Linked DNA regions of Astyanax mexicanus. Each later gene encodes a partner of the first gene's protein in a complex. Links are inferred from orthologs where the notes say so. Each region holds a gene or a part of one and is shown in the gene's direction. Other genes may lie near its edges.

Region 1 (9,104 bases):
GTTTGCTGACACTGAATGACACACTCATCTCCAAAACTGGGCAAAGATACCTTACCTTACAATGGCTTGCTATTGTTGTTTTGATCTGCACCAAGTGGGCCTACTTTGGTCTATTATTAACAGCCCATCACCTAGTGTTTCAGTACGTTTGTGCTATTTTAAGACATACTTCAAGGACAAAGTTTCAAATATTGAAATTGAATATTTTTTAACCATTTAACAGAATTTTTTACAGAAACATTTTACAGAAAAACTGTATTTCTATGATTCACACTGTAAAAGATTATTGTACATGATGATGCTGGCTTCATCCATCAGTTTTTTATTTGATGTCCTCATTTTTTCCTATGACTGTACTTGTAAGCAGGTTTGCGCATTTATGTGGCCCAGCAGCAAGGAATGATCAGCATGAGTTTGTGTTTTCTCACCTTGAGTCTGAATGAGATGCAGGATTTTGCCTGTCACCTGCCTGACCGCCTCAGTGTCAGTGACCAACACCTCTCCATTCAGGCGCTCCAGCTGCCCCAGCAACATCAGCACCCGGGAACTACTGGGGATTCTGCGAAGACACACACCAAGACAATAAATAAGCCTAAGAGATATGATTTTCAATATAAGTGGTGCAGTTTACAACCTATTTAGCAATATTTATTGAAGAGCCTATATCATTTTTCCTGAAATATGTAAACCATTACATAAAAATCCATCACACACGAGTTCCACTTTTTATTAAAATTTATTGTATTCACATTAACATATATTTACCTATTCAAGATAAAGGTAAAGAGGAGTATTTCAGCCTGGATTGTTCTTTGAATCAAGTACCATATGCCACACCCAATCAGAACAGAGTTCACTGGTGAAAGCATTGGGAAACCAGTTTATTTAAAATAAAAATTCAGAGAGTTTAATATGCTTTAGTAACTTTCTCTATTGTTCAGGGAAAGCTTTATATTAGATTATGGAGCATTGTTGTGACCATCATTCCAGAGAACACAGTTTTGGCAACTTAAAGTAACACTGAAAGTGTGAACTTGTTCCTGCAGTCTTTAACTCTGAGGCCAATCAGCTACACTTGAAAATAACTTGCACATAATGGTACAAATAGGGGATGGTAGCATAGGGAAGAACTACATAACAAGGGTGAATGAGGGAAGAAAGACACACCCAGTATGCTAATAGAGGGTGCCTGAAGACAAGACAGGGATAAATGCAAACGCAAGGTTAAAGATCATGTTTGACCAAAACAACTTCAAAATAGACTCATAAAGTCTATGCCTTCCCTTAGCTTTCACAAAATAGCCACTGGGCATGCTCACATCACAGCATTTGTTACTACTTAACTGTTTTAACCATGGCTGTCAACGTTAAAGCATTAATGCACACGATTAATTTACTATTTTTTAATGCAAATTAAAAATACGTTTGACCCCAACTTCCCCAGTTTCGCCGCCTCACATTTGATGAAATAGCTATTTGTCTACTGCCACGCTTGGGGCGCGCATTTTCACAGAGATTTATGTAAATACAACAGCAAGTGGAAATGGAGGAGCTACTGAACCAAAAAACTCACTGGTCCTCCTGTTTTTTTTTTTTTTGCAGTCCAGTTGCAAGAGTTTTGAAAGTACATCATTTTTAAATTAGTACATTGTATTCAGTCAGCTACCAATAAAATGCACTTCTTTTTGAATTAAGTGTAGAGGGCTCCACGTGGTCCATCAGGCTAAGTGCTGTCACTTATCGGGAGATTGCTGGTTCGAATCCCGATCATGTAGCTTACCATCAACTGCTGAAACCACAATTGGCAGGGACAGTGCTTGTTCATAGCATTATATTATCTGGCAAATATATCAGATTAAACTGCACCTTACCAGCAGTTTGGCTTAATTAATAAGAAGAATATTTGAAAGCTGGATCAAGACCAGATTGAGTTCTTAGCACTAGTGAATCACTCCAGAGTTCGTTTGAGACCAAAATCTGCAGGTTGGGCGGGGCAGATTACAGAAGAAGATGGGGTCAAACTTGAAAGCGTAATTATTTAATTTGCATTAAAAACATAGCAACGCACAGAGAAAATTAAAATTAAAATAAAAGAGAAAATTACCCCAGGACCCCCTAAGAAACTAGACCCGTCTGAATAGGGCTTTAGTTTCAAAAACTCTGACCTGATGAACATTAGACTGACCCTCTTTAAATGTAAAAATGCTTATAAATGTAGAGTAAATGATTTAAGAGTGTGTGCATGTTTGTGTGTTCACCCTTTCTCTGTAGCCATTTTGGGTTTATCCATTTCTTGCCATCCACAGAGAGATTAGTCACACTGCAAAAGAAAGACACAGCCATAAACATAACAGTTGTGCATAATTACTACATATAAACTACACTTTTCTTTCTATTCTTCTCATTATTTTTATTCTTTGAATTACAGTATATTATTCACATTAAATTAAATAATTAACTTAGTAACTGTTGAGCCAGATAAATATGTTTTAATTAATAAAAGTTAATGCCGTCTACTGTAAAAACACCTTATTGGACAGTAGGGTTAACTAGCTTACCTAGAAACCTAAAAACACAGCATTATTTACGCAGCATTAATGACATTAGTAACATAGCTACTAAGCTTTGGCTTTAATGTGACAGCCTTGGTTTTAATGTGATATTTATCTTAGCTAGTAAATAATTTAGACAAATTTAACCTAGATAATTAACTACAAACGAAATAAAGCCAACTAGCTACAAAACCCTTCAGCCCTGCAGCTGTAATGACAGTTAAGCTAGTTAGCTAACCTAGGTTATCTAGCGTTAGCATGGTTAGCTAACCTGGCTATCGCTAGCTGGCTAAAACAGGTCCCCTATGCCCGGGGAGGTTATGGTGACTCCTAAAACAAAGCTGCCACGCATCGACAGATGATAAATAAAGCACTGTAGCACAGAATTTAATCACACCAGTGTTTTTTAATTGAACCTAACAGCTGTCATAAAGCTCCCGGCTGGTATTATTGCCCTGAACTAACCCAGTTCAGCACCATGTCAGCTGCACCTGCCCCAGCGAGGGGCTAACGACCGGGCTAGCGAGCGAATCCAGCCCTGAAGTGTCACTACAGCTCCAACTGCACTAATACCCTGAATCGGAGGATCAGAAACGAGGTTTAACTTACATTTAAGGCAAAGCTGCTCCATCTGAGTTTAGCGGCTCCTGCTCTTTGTCTGTTATCTTAAGCAGATGCTCGCAACGCCCTGGTGTTATTATTATTTACTAGCAATCCATCTGGCCTGCCTGCCTGCCAGCTTACAGCAGAGACTCTCTGACAGAGAGAACTCCTACTCTATGAGTCTCTATGGGGCTTTTCACAACACTAGAGGCCGCTCCAGAGTGAGTCCAACATGAATGGGTTCAAATGGGAAAATGGAGCAAAATCATAGTTTATAAATGTTTAATCATTTTCATACTGACTAACATGGGGAAGCGGTAAAATCCTTATGAAATCCTCATCCTTATCATATTAACCTTAGAAAAAGTCACATTTCATGTAAAAAAAAAGTGGGGAATGAGGAATGTCAGTTTTTAGAAGGCAGTGTTTGTGTCTTTGACCTAAAATGCACTAATAAATTAATAAGGAATGTGTTTCATTTAAGAAAATATGCTACACCTAGAAGGAACTTTTCTTTTGGAATACCACGATCCAAGATAAAAATTGGACAAAAGCATGGCTTTTACCCTATAAATGTTCCCAAATATCCCCAATAAAACTAGGGAGTGCATTAGAAAATACTTCACAACATATATCTCCTATGAATTAGAAAATTGCAAAATTTAAAAATATGTTAAATGCTCCTTATGTCAATCAAAATGTGAATTAGTATCACATCTTTTTTTATGTTCCATTGCACCTAAAATTTTGAAGAAAACCAACATTTATGTGAACCTGAACCTTGGGGATATGTTATGTTTTTTTATACATTGACATAGATATATTATGTCTAGGAATTTATTATTAACATTTTTATTTTATTGAGTACATACAAACATTTTACATCACTATTGAAATCCTTTAGAATTACTAAAAATAAGAAAAAAAACTGTAAGAATTTGTGATAAGCTTTCACTGGCCTCTTGTTTTTTTTTCTTTTTTTCTCCATAATGTATATTTTTATACTGTCTTCCATTGTGGTTTCTTTATATTACCCTAAAACTTTAAAGATCAATAAAACAAAACAAAACAAAAACAAACAATAGGGCCAAGGGGTGAAATGGGACTGGGCCTTCTGCATTGGATCAAACAGTCAGTTCACAGTAGAAAGTAATTAAGAGAAAAACAAGTTATAAGTTATAAGTTTCTTTATTTTTTAAGAAAATGCTTCATTAGATTTTCCGAAATTAAATGGATATCCTGAACAAGTTGTTAGACACTGTTTTTAATTTTAGTTTGTAGCCATTTAGCTCCATTCACTCCCATTAATTGAAGACTCGCTCGTGATCGCCCCCTATCGGTTAACACTCCTTTTTTGCTAGAACGGGGAAACATGTGGGAAGTTGGAAGGCTCTACATAAACATCTCTGGCTTTATTACACCGTACTGGGACAGTTCTCACTGTTCTGACTTTGCGCAAAATCTGCGATCTACAAGTCATGCACGCGCACGGCGGTGTGACAGCAACGGCTTGGAAATCTGCGGATTCAAGTTACGGCACAAGTAACATAAGACGTATACTGGGAAATGTAGTACTTTGAGAGATTTTACGGTTTATTTTGAGGAAAAAATAGAGATTTATTTAAAAAAAGTATCGTCTTAAGGCATCTCAACCTGCACAACAATTAATACAACGTTATACATTCAGGACTTGAAATAAAATATGTACATAGGTCTAAAGGCGTGGATGGTTTGCGAAATATTCAGAACTACAAATCCTATAATGCAGTTCGGCGCAACGTCTATCACCGGTGACCAGTGGAAGCGGTGATGAGTGGCTGCAGGGGAGTACGCTAGCTAGTCATTTATAAGGTAAATTATCTGTTTTATCCATTAATTGCGGTGATGTTAAGTGATAACCGTATAAACGCGAAGCTAGTTAACATATTGCTGTATGAACTGAAATAATTGGCAGTGTTAAATCCGGAGTTTTAGCTTGTTGTTAGTCGTTATGTGGTCGCTTGCTAGGTTAGCTAAGCTAAGCTAGGTTAACGAGCTGGACACTGAATGTCAGATAGATAGATAGCTAGCTAAGCTAGGTTAGCTAAGCTATACTGTACACAAACATAACACAGCCATTACATTTCACATACCTAACCTAGCAGCCGCAGTCAACTGTTTTTTCTCGTTGTCGCATATTGTGTTACGGTTGGTTAAATGAAAAATGCCATTCTTCTTCCTTTCAAACAGACTTTGTATTGCCACCTATTTCAGTAACTAAACCCCTTAGGGTTCCAATCACCACAGAACAGTTGTTCTGTACGCAGGCTTGGCTACTCACCTTTAATGCTTGTCTGGAGGTCTGACACTCATTTCCTCCCCCTCCCATTCCCTCTCACAATAAATAAAGCTGCAGAACGAGTTAGCTAGGTTAGATGACTAGTTAATCCAGATATCCATGACCAGCTCAGTCTGTGTGTTAATGACTATTAGCTACTGATGTTTGCCATAGTTCAAATTAGGGCATTTGTCAAGCTTACTATGTCTATGTCTACTTCCTTCTTGGGAACTCTTGACCACACACTGAGCTTTCCCACACCCACACACACACACACACACACACACACACACACACTAAACACCAAACACCAAAGTTGGCTCTTTTTAACTGAAACCCAGCCATATAAAGACTGTGGACTACTGCCAATGTGTTTAAATGACCGCTCCATAAAACTGGACCGCTACTCCCTTTCACCTGTTCTCTTTTGAGTTTAGTTTCTGCATGTTTATTAATGTATTTTCTATAAATTTAATTCAGTAAAATGGCTAATATTATTTTATTGCATCTCTACGAAGCTCCTTAAAGGACATTAAAAAATTAAATAATAAAAAAATGCACACCCACAGCTTATTAAAGCGCAGGAAAAAGGATAGTGACATTTTTCCCCATTGTCATCTTCCTGTATCGTAAATGATTTTCGGCGAATCTCAATATTTCTTTCCTTTCTTCATCCGCCAAAATGTTGACCCAAACCTTTAGGGTTAAAAACAATTCAGATTAGTTTTAGGTGAGGCCTTATTTGAAAGACCTCTCAGGGTTCCAGGATCATGTGCTTTTGACTGGTAGGTTTTTGCAAGGTCTTCAGATAATATTGCTGGATGGTGAAAAGTTCTGTTTCCTCCATTGTTTCTTATTCTCTTTACAATGCCCACAAAGACATTGTTTACTGGTGTAAAATCTGCGTCTTTACATAGTAGAAGCTGATTCATTTCGTTTTGGTTTATAATTCTAAATCGACTTTAATGTTGTTGCTCTTTAACCAGGATGTAAATACATTAAGAGTCCAGGACGTTTGTTTTACTATTTTAACTCCATTTCTCTGCATTTCCAGCTCTACTAATCATTGTTTAAACCGCATCAAACCTTGGGTCATTGGAGGTGTCAGGCAGGTCATTTATAGATTTATCCTCTGGTTTCAGAACGAAACCAATGCTTTCAAAGCCAATAGATTTAATGAATCCACTGTAATTAATTGTGACAGTTGTTGCTGCTCTGTTTATAGTTGTGCTGTTTGTAAGAGCTGCATTGTTGGTAGGTTACCCGTATGTGGCGAAGTAATACATGGGGAGCTTCAGTTACAGTGAATTACCAACTGATAACTGTATTCATAGAAGCTAGGGCTGCAACTAATGATTATTTTGGTAGTCGACTATCTCTAAAAACAATAGAAACAGCTGAACGTGAGATTCATAAGGCATTTAAATGTCTGGATGTTGTTTAAACGTGGAAAGTACTGATATTTAGTGAGTAAATATGTAATCTGTAGAGTTTGGGTACTTTTGGAGACACAGACTAAGTTAAGTGTAAACTGTGTGAGTGAGCCATTTACCCATCTTCAATTGCGCTTCTGTCCCCAGCACTTTGTGTAATGCGGTACTGTTACAAATGAACGATTAGTCGACAATTAAATTTGTAGTCGACAAATTTAAATAATCGGCACTGTTGATTATATCGACTAATCTTTGCAGCTCTAATAGAAGCCTCTCAGCCAATCACATTGCAGGGTCAGAACTGAATGTGGTATAATGCAAGTTGTTTCACTACCAGAGCTGGAGCATCCCTTGCTATCTTTATGAAACTCCTGATGTCTGAGCTCTTCAAAGAGCACTTACTCTCCTAACACCTCTAACAAACTAACTACTTCTCCTGCTTTTCTCCTCTGTCCCACTAATCCCAAGTTTTTTGCCTTGAACTTCTATGTACTCTATTACTAAATGTAAATCATTATTTGTAAGTCGCTATTCGATAAAAGCATCTGCCAAATGTAATCTAATGTACTGTTACAATTTGGAACGTAGTACTAGTACCTAATTTTCATTAAAAAGAAATATACTGTAACACCTGTGTAGTATAATGAATAGTAAGCAGATATTTTAGCATTTCTGGATACTGGCAGTGATGGTAATATACTGTTTATTGCAGTAAACAATATTTTATACATTATCAGCATACAGGAGTATGAAAGGCACTCTGACTAATTGTATCATTGTTCTGTTGTATTTACAGTACTGTGAATCGCTCCACAGCAACGGCGTGGTGCTCTAGGCCTCGTCTCCTAACCTGAAGATCTGCTGCTTTGTTGTTTGCATCCGTCCCCATGGTGATGAAATCGTCAGTGGAGGAGGACGAAGGTGGATGGGGTCTCGGCATCCCAGAGAAGATGAGGAACAACGCCAACTGGGTGGACATCACCCAAGACTTCAAAGGGGCCTGTAAAGGTGTGTTTGACAGAGTTATACGTATCACTGACACCTGAATGTCAACATAGCAACATGCTCGCATCGCCTCCCCTTTGTTCTGGGTGCAACGTGAAGCTGCTCCTGGATCAGAGTGATCATTTTCACTGAACTGACCCAGAACCTGTCCGTGTTCCAGCATTTTGTTGTTATTGGAACCAATAGAGGCAGCTGTGATATCGCAGACTGGCTCTCCCAGGACATCAGATCTCTCCCAGAATAACCCTTTTTCCACTGAGCTCTGAGAAACATTCTGAGAACCTTTCTTTATGCTTATGTTTCTCATAATAATCAGAATTTGTAACCTGGTGAAGGCTTTATAGGGGATATGACTTTAAATGGCTGTGACCAAAGTCTTAAACGAATACCTCAGTCACAGATGATAATATTGATAAATAACATAAAACCTGTTGACTCAAAACACACTGTAATAGAATCCAGTGGACAGACACAAGAGAACCATATATACAATACGTTTGCTTTGATACACAGATAGAATGTAATCTCTGCCTTTTAATCACCCAAGCACGGGTTACCGGACTGACACACAGTGGCAATCAACAACAAGACTTACTCTGTAGCTGATCAGTAACCTGTCTCTACTACACCATTGGTAGTGATAAATTACCCAGCTACTGTTATCAACCTTACTAAAACTCAGTCATCACCTGTTCAGCAGAACAATAGTCAGTTCACCCATTTCCATAGCTTCAGCACACTGTTTGCATGCTGTCTATACCTATTGGAGGCTATATCCCAAACAGATTTCTGTGACATACTGCACAGTAATAAAATACTGTCTGAAGCTCTGCTGATAAGAACCTTTTATTAGTTTCGACAGAAGATATATTAACCCTGGTCCTTTAAAGCTAAAGCACACTGATGGATTGATTTCCATACAGCTTAAGTTCATTTTAAACTACTGTGTAGATGTAATAGGATAAATAATCACTGCTCCAAATTAGAACAGTCATGTAAAGGTTGGAATTGTTTTAACCAGGCTATCAGTTTAAACTGAAGAGCATCCAAATGCTTTTTTTGTGTTTTGTGTTGGTGGCACTTTAAAAAGATGCAGTGGTGCTCCATGTAATTGTACCATCACTCTGCCAGCACTGGTGGCAATATCTCATTGGTGAAGTCCTAGATAGGATATGGGAGACTGGATTGACTGTG
Region 2 (8,796 bases), on another chromosome or scaffold:
GTGGTGAACAGTAGGTCAGTAGTGAACAGTAGGTCAGTGGTGAACAGTAGGTCAGTAGTGAACAGTAGGTCAGTAGTAAACAGTAGGTCAGTGGTGAACAGTAGGTCAGTGGTGATCAGTAGGTCAGTAGTGAACAGTAGGTCAGTAGTAAACAGTAGGTCAGTAGTAAACAGTAGGTCAGTAGTGAACAGTAGGTCAGTAGTAAACAGTAGGTCAGTAGTAAACAGTAGGTCAGTAGTAAACAGTAGGTCAGTAGTGAACAGTAGGTCAGTAGTGAACAGTAGGTCAGTGGTGAACAGTAGGTCAGTAGTAAACAGTAGGTCAGTGGTGAACAGTAGGTCAGTAGTAAACAGTAGGTCAGTGGTGAACAGTAGGTCAGTAGTAAACAGTAGGTCAGTAGTGAACAGTAGGTCAGTAGTAAACAGTAGGTCAGTAGTAAACAGTAGGTCAGTGGTGATCAGTAGGTCAGTAGTAAACAGTAGGTCAGTAGTGAACAGTAGGTCAGTAGTGAACAGTAGGTCAGTGGTGAACAGTAGGTCAGTAGTAAACAGTAGGTCAGTAGTAAACAGTAGGTCAGTAGTGAACAGTAGGTCAGTGGTGAACAGTAGGTCAGTAGTGAACAGTAGGTCAGTAGTAAACAGTAGGTCAGTGGTGATCAGTAGGTCAGTAGTGAACAGTAGGTCAGTAGTGAACAGTAGGTCAGTGGTGAACAGTAGGCGGGTAGTGAACAGTAGGTCAGTAGTGAACAGTAGGTCAGTAGTAAACAGTAGGTCAGTGGTGATCAGTAGGTCAGTAGTGAACAGTAGGTCAGTGGTGAACAGTAGGTCAGTAGTGAACAGTAGGTCAGTGGTGAACAGTAGGTCAGTAGTGAACAGTAGGTCAGTAGTGAACAGTAGGTCAGTGGTGAACAGTAGGCGGGTAGTGAACAGTAGGTCAGTAGTGAACAGTAGGTCAGTAGTAAACAGTAGGTCAGTGGTGATCAGTAGGTCAGTAGTGAACAGTAGGTCAGTGGTGAACAGTAGGTCAGTGGTGAACAGTAGGTCAGTAGTAAACAGTAGGTCAGTGGTGATCAGTAGGTCAGTAGTGAACAGTAGGTCAGTGGTGAACAGTAGGTCAGTGGTGAACAGTAGGTCAGTAGTAAACAGTAGGTCAGTAGTGAACAGTAGGTCAGTGGTGAACAGTAGGTCAGTGGTGAACAGTAGGTCAGTAGTGAACAGTAGGTCAGTGGTGAACAGTAGGTCAGTAGTGAACAGTAGGTCAGTAGTGAACAGTAGGTCAGTAGTAAACAGTAGGTCAGTAGTGAACAGTAGGTCAGTGGTGAACAGTAGGTCAGTAGTGAACAGTAGGTCAGTAGTGAACAGTAGGTCAGTAGTAAACAGTAGGTCAGTGGTGAACAGTAGGTCAGTGGTGATCAGTAGGTCAGTAGTGAACAGTAGGTCAGTAGTGAACAGTAGGTCAGTAGTGAACAGTAGGTCAGTAGTGCAGTACCGGTTCTTACCTCTGAGCTGCAGGAGGTGCCGCTGAGTCAATAAACCCTTAATCAATACGTCCCAATAATCACAGGTTCTGCACTGTGTGTGTTTATAGTGTATAGTGCAAAGTGTGTGTATAGTGTGTGTGTGAGTGTGTGTGTGTGTGTGTATAGTTTATAGTGCGTATCGGTTGATCCTTCTCCAGCAAAAGCTGAAACTTCTGCTCGCGCTCCAACTGTAATCAGAGTGGGCGTGGCCAGCCGACCAGGGGCGTGTGTGTGGGCGGGACCAGACGTTGAAGTGCAGGGTCTTAGTGGATCAGAGAGGAAAGAGGAGTGTGTCTTACTGATCACTACTGAATTACAATCAATAATCAACCATTAATCAATACCTGATTCCAACTACAGCCATTTATTCAGACGATAATAATGATTTTTTTTAATAACTATTTTGTTTAAGTTATATTATGGGATATAATTCTGTTCTCAGTTTAATAGAATATGTTTATATAAATCTGTTTATAAAAGTTTAGTTTTCTACTCAGTCACATGATCTTAATTAACATAATAACAATATGATTATTATTGTTATTATTATTATTATTATTAAAATTATTATTATAATTGTGTAATTAATGTGTTTACAGTACTATTATAATATACTAGTATAATATTAAAAACTCTAAATCTGATAGTGTGTGTGAATATATATATATACATATACATACATAGTGTGTATAGTGTATAGTTATATATAAAGTGTGAGTATGTCATTGCATATGACTGCGCAGCTGCGTAAATGCTGCGCAGCAGTGACGCTCTGTAGTTCTGCGGAGGAGCCGCGTGTAGAAAGTGCGGCAGTGCTGCGCGCGCGGACGCTGATCAGTGATCAGTTACTGCGGATCGATTAAACCAATCAGTCTGGTCAAAAATCTCACAGCATGAAGTACAGCATCCGGCCAGCGCGCGCTCAGGACTGCACTGATATACAGCGCATGATCATGGTGAGGGGGGGTAATTACATTAATTACACTGTACAATTACAATTACTTTAATTACATATAACAGTTACAGTAATTGCACGTAACCGTTACTATAGTTACAGTAATTTCAGTACATTATATTAATATTTATAACCTGCTCTTATATTTAATTTACTGAGTTATTTTCAGGAACAGAGGAACTCTGTCTAACTAACTCTGACTAAAGTCCAACTTACTCTCACTGTGTGTGTGTGTGTGTGTGTGTGTGTGTGTGTGTGTGTGTGTGTGTTGGTGTGTTTGTGTGTGTGTTGGTGTGTGTGTAGGATCTGGCTGTGTATGAGAAGATGCCTGACCAGGTGAAGATCTCTCACAAAGGTTAATTTAAGTTCAGGTGAACAGCTTACAGGTGTGCAGGTTCAGTGCAGGTATTATTCAGGTGTGCAGGTTCAGTACAGGTATTGTTCAGGTGTGCAGGTTCAGTACAGGTATTGTTCAGGTGTGCAGGTTCAGTACAGGTATTGTTCAGGTGTGCAGGTTCAGTACAGGTATTGTTCAGGTGTGCAGGTTCAGTACAGGTATTGTTCAGGTGTGCAGGTTCAGTACAGGTATTGTTCAGGTGTGCAGGTTCAGTACAGGTATTGTTCAGGTGTGCAGGTTCAGTACAGGTATTGTTCAGGTGTGCAGGATCAGTGCAGGTATTGTTCAGGTGTGCAGGTTCAGTGCAGGTATTGTTCAGGTGTGCAGGTTCAGTGCAGGTATTGTTCAGGTGTGCAGGTGTGTGGGTACTTAGTGTGTGTGTGTGTGTGTTGCGGTTTCAGAGCTGGAGCGGGATGGGTTTGGTCCGAACCCGTTTTTTCAGTGTTTGGTAGCGGAGGTGGCGCAGGAACACTGTTCTCCTGAAGGTACAGTAACTCACCTGTTTCACCTGTATCAGGTAAACGCTCCCCTCGGTCTGACTGTGTTGGGGTTTGGGGGGGTGCAGGTCACACGGTGGTGGGCTACGCTCTGTATTTCTACACCTACAGCACCTGGAGCGGGCGCTGCGTCTACATGGAGGACCTGTACGTCATGCCCAACTTCAGAGGTGTGTTAGTGATACTTACACACCTGTACCTGTATAAATACGGTCTTGCGTGCAGGTCTCTGAATGGAACTGTCTGTTCCACCTTAAATACACCTCAGGCATTACTACTGTAACTGCTGCAGCATTTAAGGTGGAACGGAAAATTCCAGCAAGAGGTCTGCAGTATGAAGTTAACTTTCGGTTACTCTGCTTACTTACAGGTAAAGGTGTTGGGAAAGCTCTGATGGCGACAATCGCCAAGGTGAGTCTGTGTTTATTATACATATAATAATTATAAATACAAAAATAATGAATAAAAAATACACTAAAATAAACGCTAACTAATATGTACTAAATTTACTGATTTTGATTAGGTCTACAGGTGTGCAGGTTGTATACAGGTGTTGTTAGGTGTGTGATTTCTGGTGTGTGTGTGTTGTAGGTAGCTACAGAGCAGCAGTGTGTACGGTTGCAGTTCTCGGTTCTGGACTGGAACAAACCTTCGCTGGAGTTTTACCTGTCGAAAGGTGCGCAGGACCTGACGGATAAGGAGGGCTGGCACTTCTTGCGCTTTGATGGAGAGGCTCTGGATAACCTGGCTCAGGAAGCTCCGCCCACTTCCACCTGTTCCACCTGAATAAACACCACCGGTGTTATGAACAGTGTTCGGTTAGCGTACAGCGGTTAGCCGCTCGCCGTGCTAACTCCGTTAGAGTTAATCTGTCCCAATAAAATCAAAGATCAAAGAGTTTTTATCACATTATTAAAAATTATAATGATTTTTGAGTGAATTTAGGACTTAATTTAGAAAATAAGAGTCTTGTAGCATTATTTTACTCTATCCTGTTAAAAACTGACAGAAATCATTAGTTTTGTTTTTTATCCAGATCAATAAAGAGATTATGTTGTTTTATACAGGATGATGTTTATTTCTGTGTAAATTTAATTCTCTGCTGTTTATCCGGCTATAGTTTGTTTCACTTTTATATAAATAAATAAATAAATGTCAAATAAATGAATTATATTGCTTTATTTGGGGTGATGTTAATGTCTGTGTGAATTAAACAGCACTGTTTATGCCTATAAAAGTCATTTATATTAATCAAACATGTCATGGTTAATTTGTTTCTTGTTGTAATAAATAAAGAGATTATATTGTTAGATTCGGGTGATTTTTATTTATTTTAGTAATTAAGGGTCCTGCAGCTTTAGCAGTAATTTACTTCATGTTAAAAACTGACAGATATGATTTGTTAAATAAAATAAATAGATTGTATTGTTTGATGCAGGTGACTGGAAAATAAACTCTTTTGTGTGTAGCTGTACAAGTGTTTATATTTGTGTGAATAAAAAAAAATACTAGTAATTAGTGTTAGCAATAACGGTTAGCATTAGCGGTTAGCGTTAGCATTATCAGGGTGCAGTACCGCTCCGCTGCGGCGGGGGCGCTGTGAGTTTCCCGGGCTCGGTGTTTGGGCTCCGGCTGCAGGCTGGTTGAGTAGCGCTGTGTTTATTGTTAATAATCAGTAAATAATAATCGATATTCGGTTTTAAATCGCTCCGGGATCAGTGTTAGATCATCTCTGAGTGATTAAAACATGGAGGAGAACGGCACCGAGCTGCAGGAGGGGGTAAGCGCGGCTAATGCTAACGCTAATGCTAACGCTAATATTAGCCGCTAATGTCTCAGTGTTTGAAGTGATTATAGTGAGATTATGATTACTGTTATTATTTACTTCAGTACTACAGGAGCTCAGTGTTACTGTGATTATAGTGATATTATTAATACTGTTATTATAGAGGAGAGGTTTCAGCTCAGTGATGTTTTTCAGTATAAACTAAAGTATTGATGAGAATAAATATCTTTATAATAAACAGAGGATCAGTATTTACTGATTAATCTGATTTATTAATCCTGAGGAAGTTTATAATCCAGTAATTTTATCACTTTACCACAGACACACTCAGAGAAACAGTAGATATCTACATAAAGACTGCAGGTACTAGATAAGTACTAGATAAGAGTTAGAGGACTATAAGGTTAGAGGTAATGGAGCTGGTAGTTCATGTTTTGTTGGAATCTGTTGTTAATGCTGATCTGCTGGATCATACGGGTTATACTGGTAGACCAGCTAAACCTCTGTAATAAAGTCACTTTAACACTACAGTGTAAATCTATTGGATTTCTTTACCAAATTTCAGGATGATCAAAATGCGGTAATAGAGGAAGTAAAAGAATATGTTATACATTTGCCTTTGTTTTAAATAGAATTAATGCAAAATAACAAACTTGTTTGTATCAAAAATAACAATACCTGCACAATGAGACAAAGTAGTGCAAAATAAAATAAGTTTAAATATAATGATTTTAAAGTGCTGCCTGTATATACGATCTATTAACAGTTAAATGTGTTCTTTTTAAAATCGTTTGTAAACATTTACATTAAATATTCTTGCCTTGCAGCTTCCTGTAGCTCTTCTCCTATTGGTTGCCAAGTCTCAAGACATATGATTAATGTTAAACACGGTTGATTTTATCTGAACTTTATCTGAACGCAGGACGAGAAAAATACTGACTTAAACCTTCAATCTTTTAAATACCTTACACTGAACCATCGAGACGACGCCCCCACAACTCCCCTCTAACAACACTCAGGATTTTATTCAGACTCGTTTAAAATCGTTTGGTGTAAGATCAGGATTAATCGCTCAGTCACCGAACTGCAGTGTGAAACCGAAACTAACCGGATTAAATAAAGAACAGTAGCTTAGTGTGGAGTTTTAGTGTTCTGTTGTAAGAGCTGTTCAGAGATCCTGATTGCTGAAGATGGAAAAAAGCACTTCAGTTTCTGAATCAGTTTCTCTGATTTTGCTATTTATAGGTTTATGTTTGAGTAAAATGAACATAGTTGTTTTATTCTATAAACTACAGACAACATTTCTCCCAAATTCCAAATAAAAATATTCTCATTTAGAGCATTTATTTACAGAAAATGAGAAATGGCTGAAATAACAAAAAAGATGCAGAGCTTTCAGACCTCAAATAATGCAAAGAAAACAACAAGTTCATATTCATAAAGTTTTAAGAGTTCAGAAATAATCCATATTTGGTGGAATAATCCTGGTTTTTAATCACAGTTTTTTTCATGCATCTTGGCATCATGTTCTCCTCCACCAGTCTTACACACTGCTTTTGGATAACTTTATGCTGCTTTACTCCTGGTGCAAAAATTCAAGCAGTTCAGTTTGGTGGTTTGATGGTTTGTGATCATCCATCTTCCTCTTGATTATATTCCAGAGGTTTTCGATAAAGAAACTCATTATTTTCCAGAGCTGTATATATTTATATATGTGTGTGTGTGTGTGTGCAGGTGGAGGAGTGTGTGTACTCCTCGGCTCGGCAGAAGCTGGAGAATCTGTTGAATAAGAGTATGAGGATCCGGATGACGGACGGCCGGACGCTGGTGGGACTGTTCCTCTGCACCGACCGCGACTGTAACGTCATCCTCGGCTCCGCCCAGGAGTTCCTCAAGTCCACAGGTGGGCGGAGCTCGCGAGAATTTACAGCATCCCTATTGGTCCATCCACCGCCCATTTTATTACAGTATAAACCGATTTATTTTGCAGAGAAAATGATAAAGAGCTGAAAGTGAAGCAGCAGAACTGCGTTATAACCAGCAGAGGGCGCACGAGTCGTGTGTAAATTATCAGCAGTAAATAAATATATTTATACTCATTTTCCACTTGTTTTAGGAGCTACGAGGTGCACGTCTGGAAATGTAAAAATGAATATTTACAGTTTATTTAACAATACAATATTAACAATGATAAAATAAGTGATCAGAAAGCTGTTAATACACTTATATATCATTTATATAGTGCTGTAATTCCATACATATTCTCTTACATCTACAATGTAGAAAAACACTGAATGAAAAGGGGGTCCAGACTTTTGAGATCACTTGATTTGACAAGTAGTACTAGAAGTATGTGTTTTAACATATAACATATAAGTTTCAACACATAGAATTACGCCAATCCTGTTTAATAAAGACACTAGTAATAGTATTACATATAATTAAAATAAAGGTTTTGCAAAACACAATATATAAAATATTATAGACAGACTGATCTGTGTTTTTGGGACCAATCTAATTGCAGATACAGATCGAGGGCGTGGCCTAAACTGACTGTAGATTTCAGAAGAGATATATATGTGTAAAAACTTTGTTATATAATTATGTTTTTGTCTATTTGGCCGCTCTATCTCTAAACTATATACATATATTTCATATTGTGAAATTAAGGAGCTTAGATGCAAGTTGTCTTACTTTCACAAACCATTTTAGAACTACAATCATATTATCATACTTTAACTATACATTTACCTCAGCCGAGCTACTCTAACTTTATATTTACCTCAGAAGAGCTATTCTAATCATACATGTACCTCAGCAATGCTATTCTAGTCATACATTTACCTCATTAGAGCTATTCTCATCATATATTTACCTCAGTAGAGCTGCTTTACCTATACATTTACCTCAGTAGATCTATTCTAATTATGAATTTACCTCAGCAGAGCTACTCTAATCATACATTTACCTCAGCAGTGCTATTCTAATCATACATTTACCTCAGCAGAGTTATTATAATCATATATTTACCTCAGAAGTGCTATTCTAATCATAGATTTAGCTCAGCGGTATCATATTTGCTCTCTCTCTCTCTCAGACTCGTTTTCTCAGGGTGAGCCGAGGGTTCTGGGTCTGGCGATGATTCCGGGTCATCACGTCGTCTCGATCGAGGTGGAGGCGGAGAGTTTACAGCCGGCTCACGGACTCTGAGTGCTGAACTCCTCCAGAGGATTATGGGAAGAGTAGTTTTTTTTGGACACTGCTGCTCCTGCAGGGCAGGTTAACACAGTGTGTGTGCTGTTCCTGAGCGTACCTGAGGACAGGTGGACTCCTGTGTGTGTGTGTGGGTGTGTGTGTGTGTGTGTACAAGGGTGTGGTTTTGTAAATATCAATAAAAAGAAAATATTGGGAAATTGGGAGTTGTATTTTTCTTCTTATTCTTTTTATTATTAGTAGTAATAAATAAAAGGTATGTTTGAAGATGAAGGTGCAGAACTGCATGAAGAGACCGTCTCTTACTGTTAAACATGGGGGTGGATGGATCATGCTGTGAGTTTGTGCTGCAGCCAGTGGCACAGGGAAGGATGCACAGTTAGAGGGAAGAATTTAATATAGTTAAATAAATATAAATATAAATGTGTT

What was found.
Region 2: the proteins of naa35 (region 1) and naa38 are in contact, whole or in part, in a cryo-EM structure (PDB 7MX2), measured with the Homo sapiens proteins. The link is inferred for Astyanax mexicanus from reciprocal best matches to the Homo sapiens genes NAA35 and NAA38. Residues at the interface, in NP_001308810.1 of Homo sapiens: Val30, Asp31, Ile32, Thr33, Phe36, Ala39, Cys40, Leu43, Leu45, Glu47, Leu48, Leu49, His50, Asp51, Phe54, Glu58, Ala59, Ala62, Ile63, Glu64, Met65, Met66, Ala72, Gly73, Met74, Gln306, Arg307, Leu309, Pro310, Pro311; in NP_001307854.1 of Homo sapiens: Ala41, Arg42, Leu45, Glu46, Leu48, Leu49, Arg61, Phe67, Leu68, Cys69, Thr70, Asp71, Arg72, Cys74, Ile77, Arg97, Val98, Leu99, Gly100, Leu101, Ala102, Met103, Val104, Pro105, His108, Ser111, Ile112, Glu113, Val114.

The regions. Positions count from the first base shown.
Region 1 is NC_064419.1:21,418,828-21,427,931, forward strand, and holds the start of naa35 (N-alpha-acetyltransferase 35, NatC auxiliary subunit), read left to right. Parts: upstream 1-4,911; 5' UTR 4,912-5,006; intron 5,007-5,475; exon of another isoform or gene 5,476-5,645; intron 5,646-7,701; 5' UTR 7,702-7,792; coding exon 7,793-7,913; intron 7,914-9,104. Other genes in the region: agtpbp1 (cytosolic carboxypeptidase 1), read right to left, coding at 429-559, 2,259-2,290. UniProt on the Homo sapiens protein: Auxillary component of the N-terminal acetyltransferase C (NatC) complex which catalyzes acetylation of N-terminal methionine residues. N-terminal acetylation protects proteins from ubiquitination and degradation by the N-end rule pathway.
Region 2 is NC_064408.1:183,315-192,110, reverse strand, and holds naa38 (N-alpha-acetyltransferase 38, NatC auxiliary subunit), read left to right. Parts: upstream 1-4,957; 5' UTR 4,958-5,115; coding exon 5,116-5,148; intron 5,149-6,888; coding exon 6,889-7,057; intron 7,058-8,251; coding exon 8,252-8,364; 3' UTR 8,365-8,567; downstream 8,568-8,796. Other genes in the region: sat2b (diamine acetyltransferase 2b), read left to right, coding at 2,413-2,475, 2,778-2,829, 3,273-3,356, 3,437-3,538, 3,739-3,779, 3,960-4,154.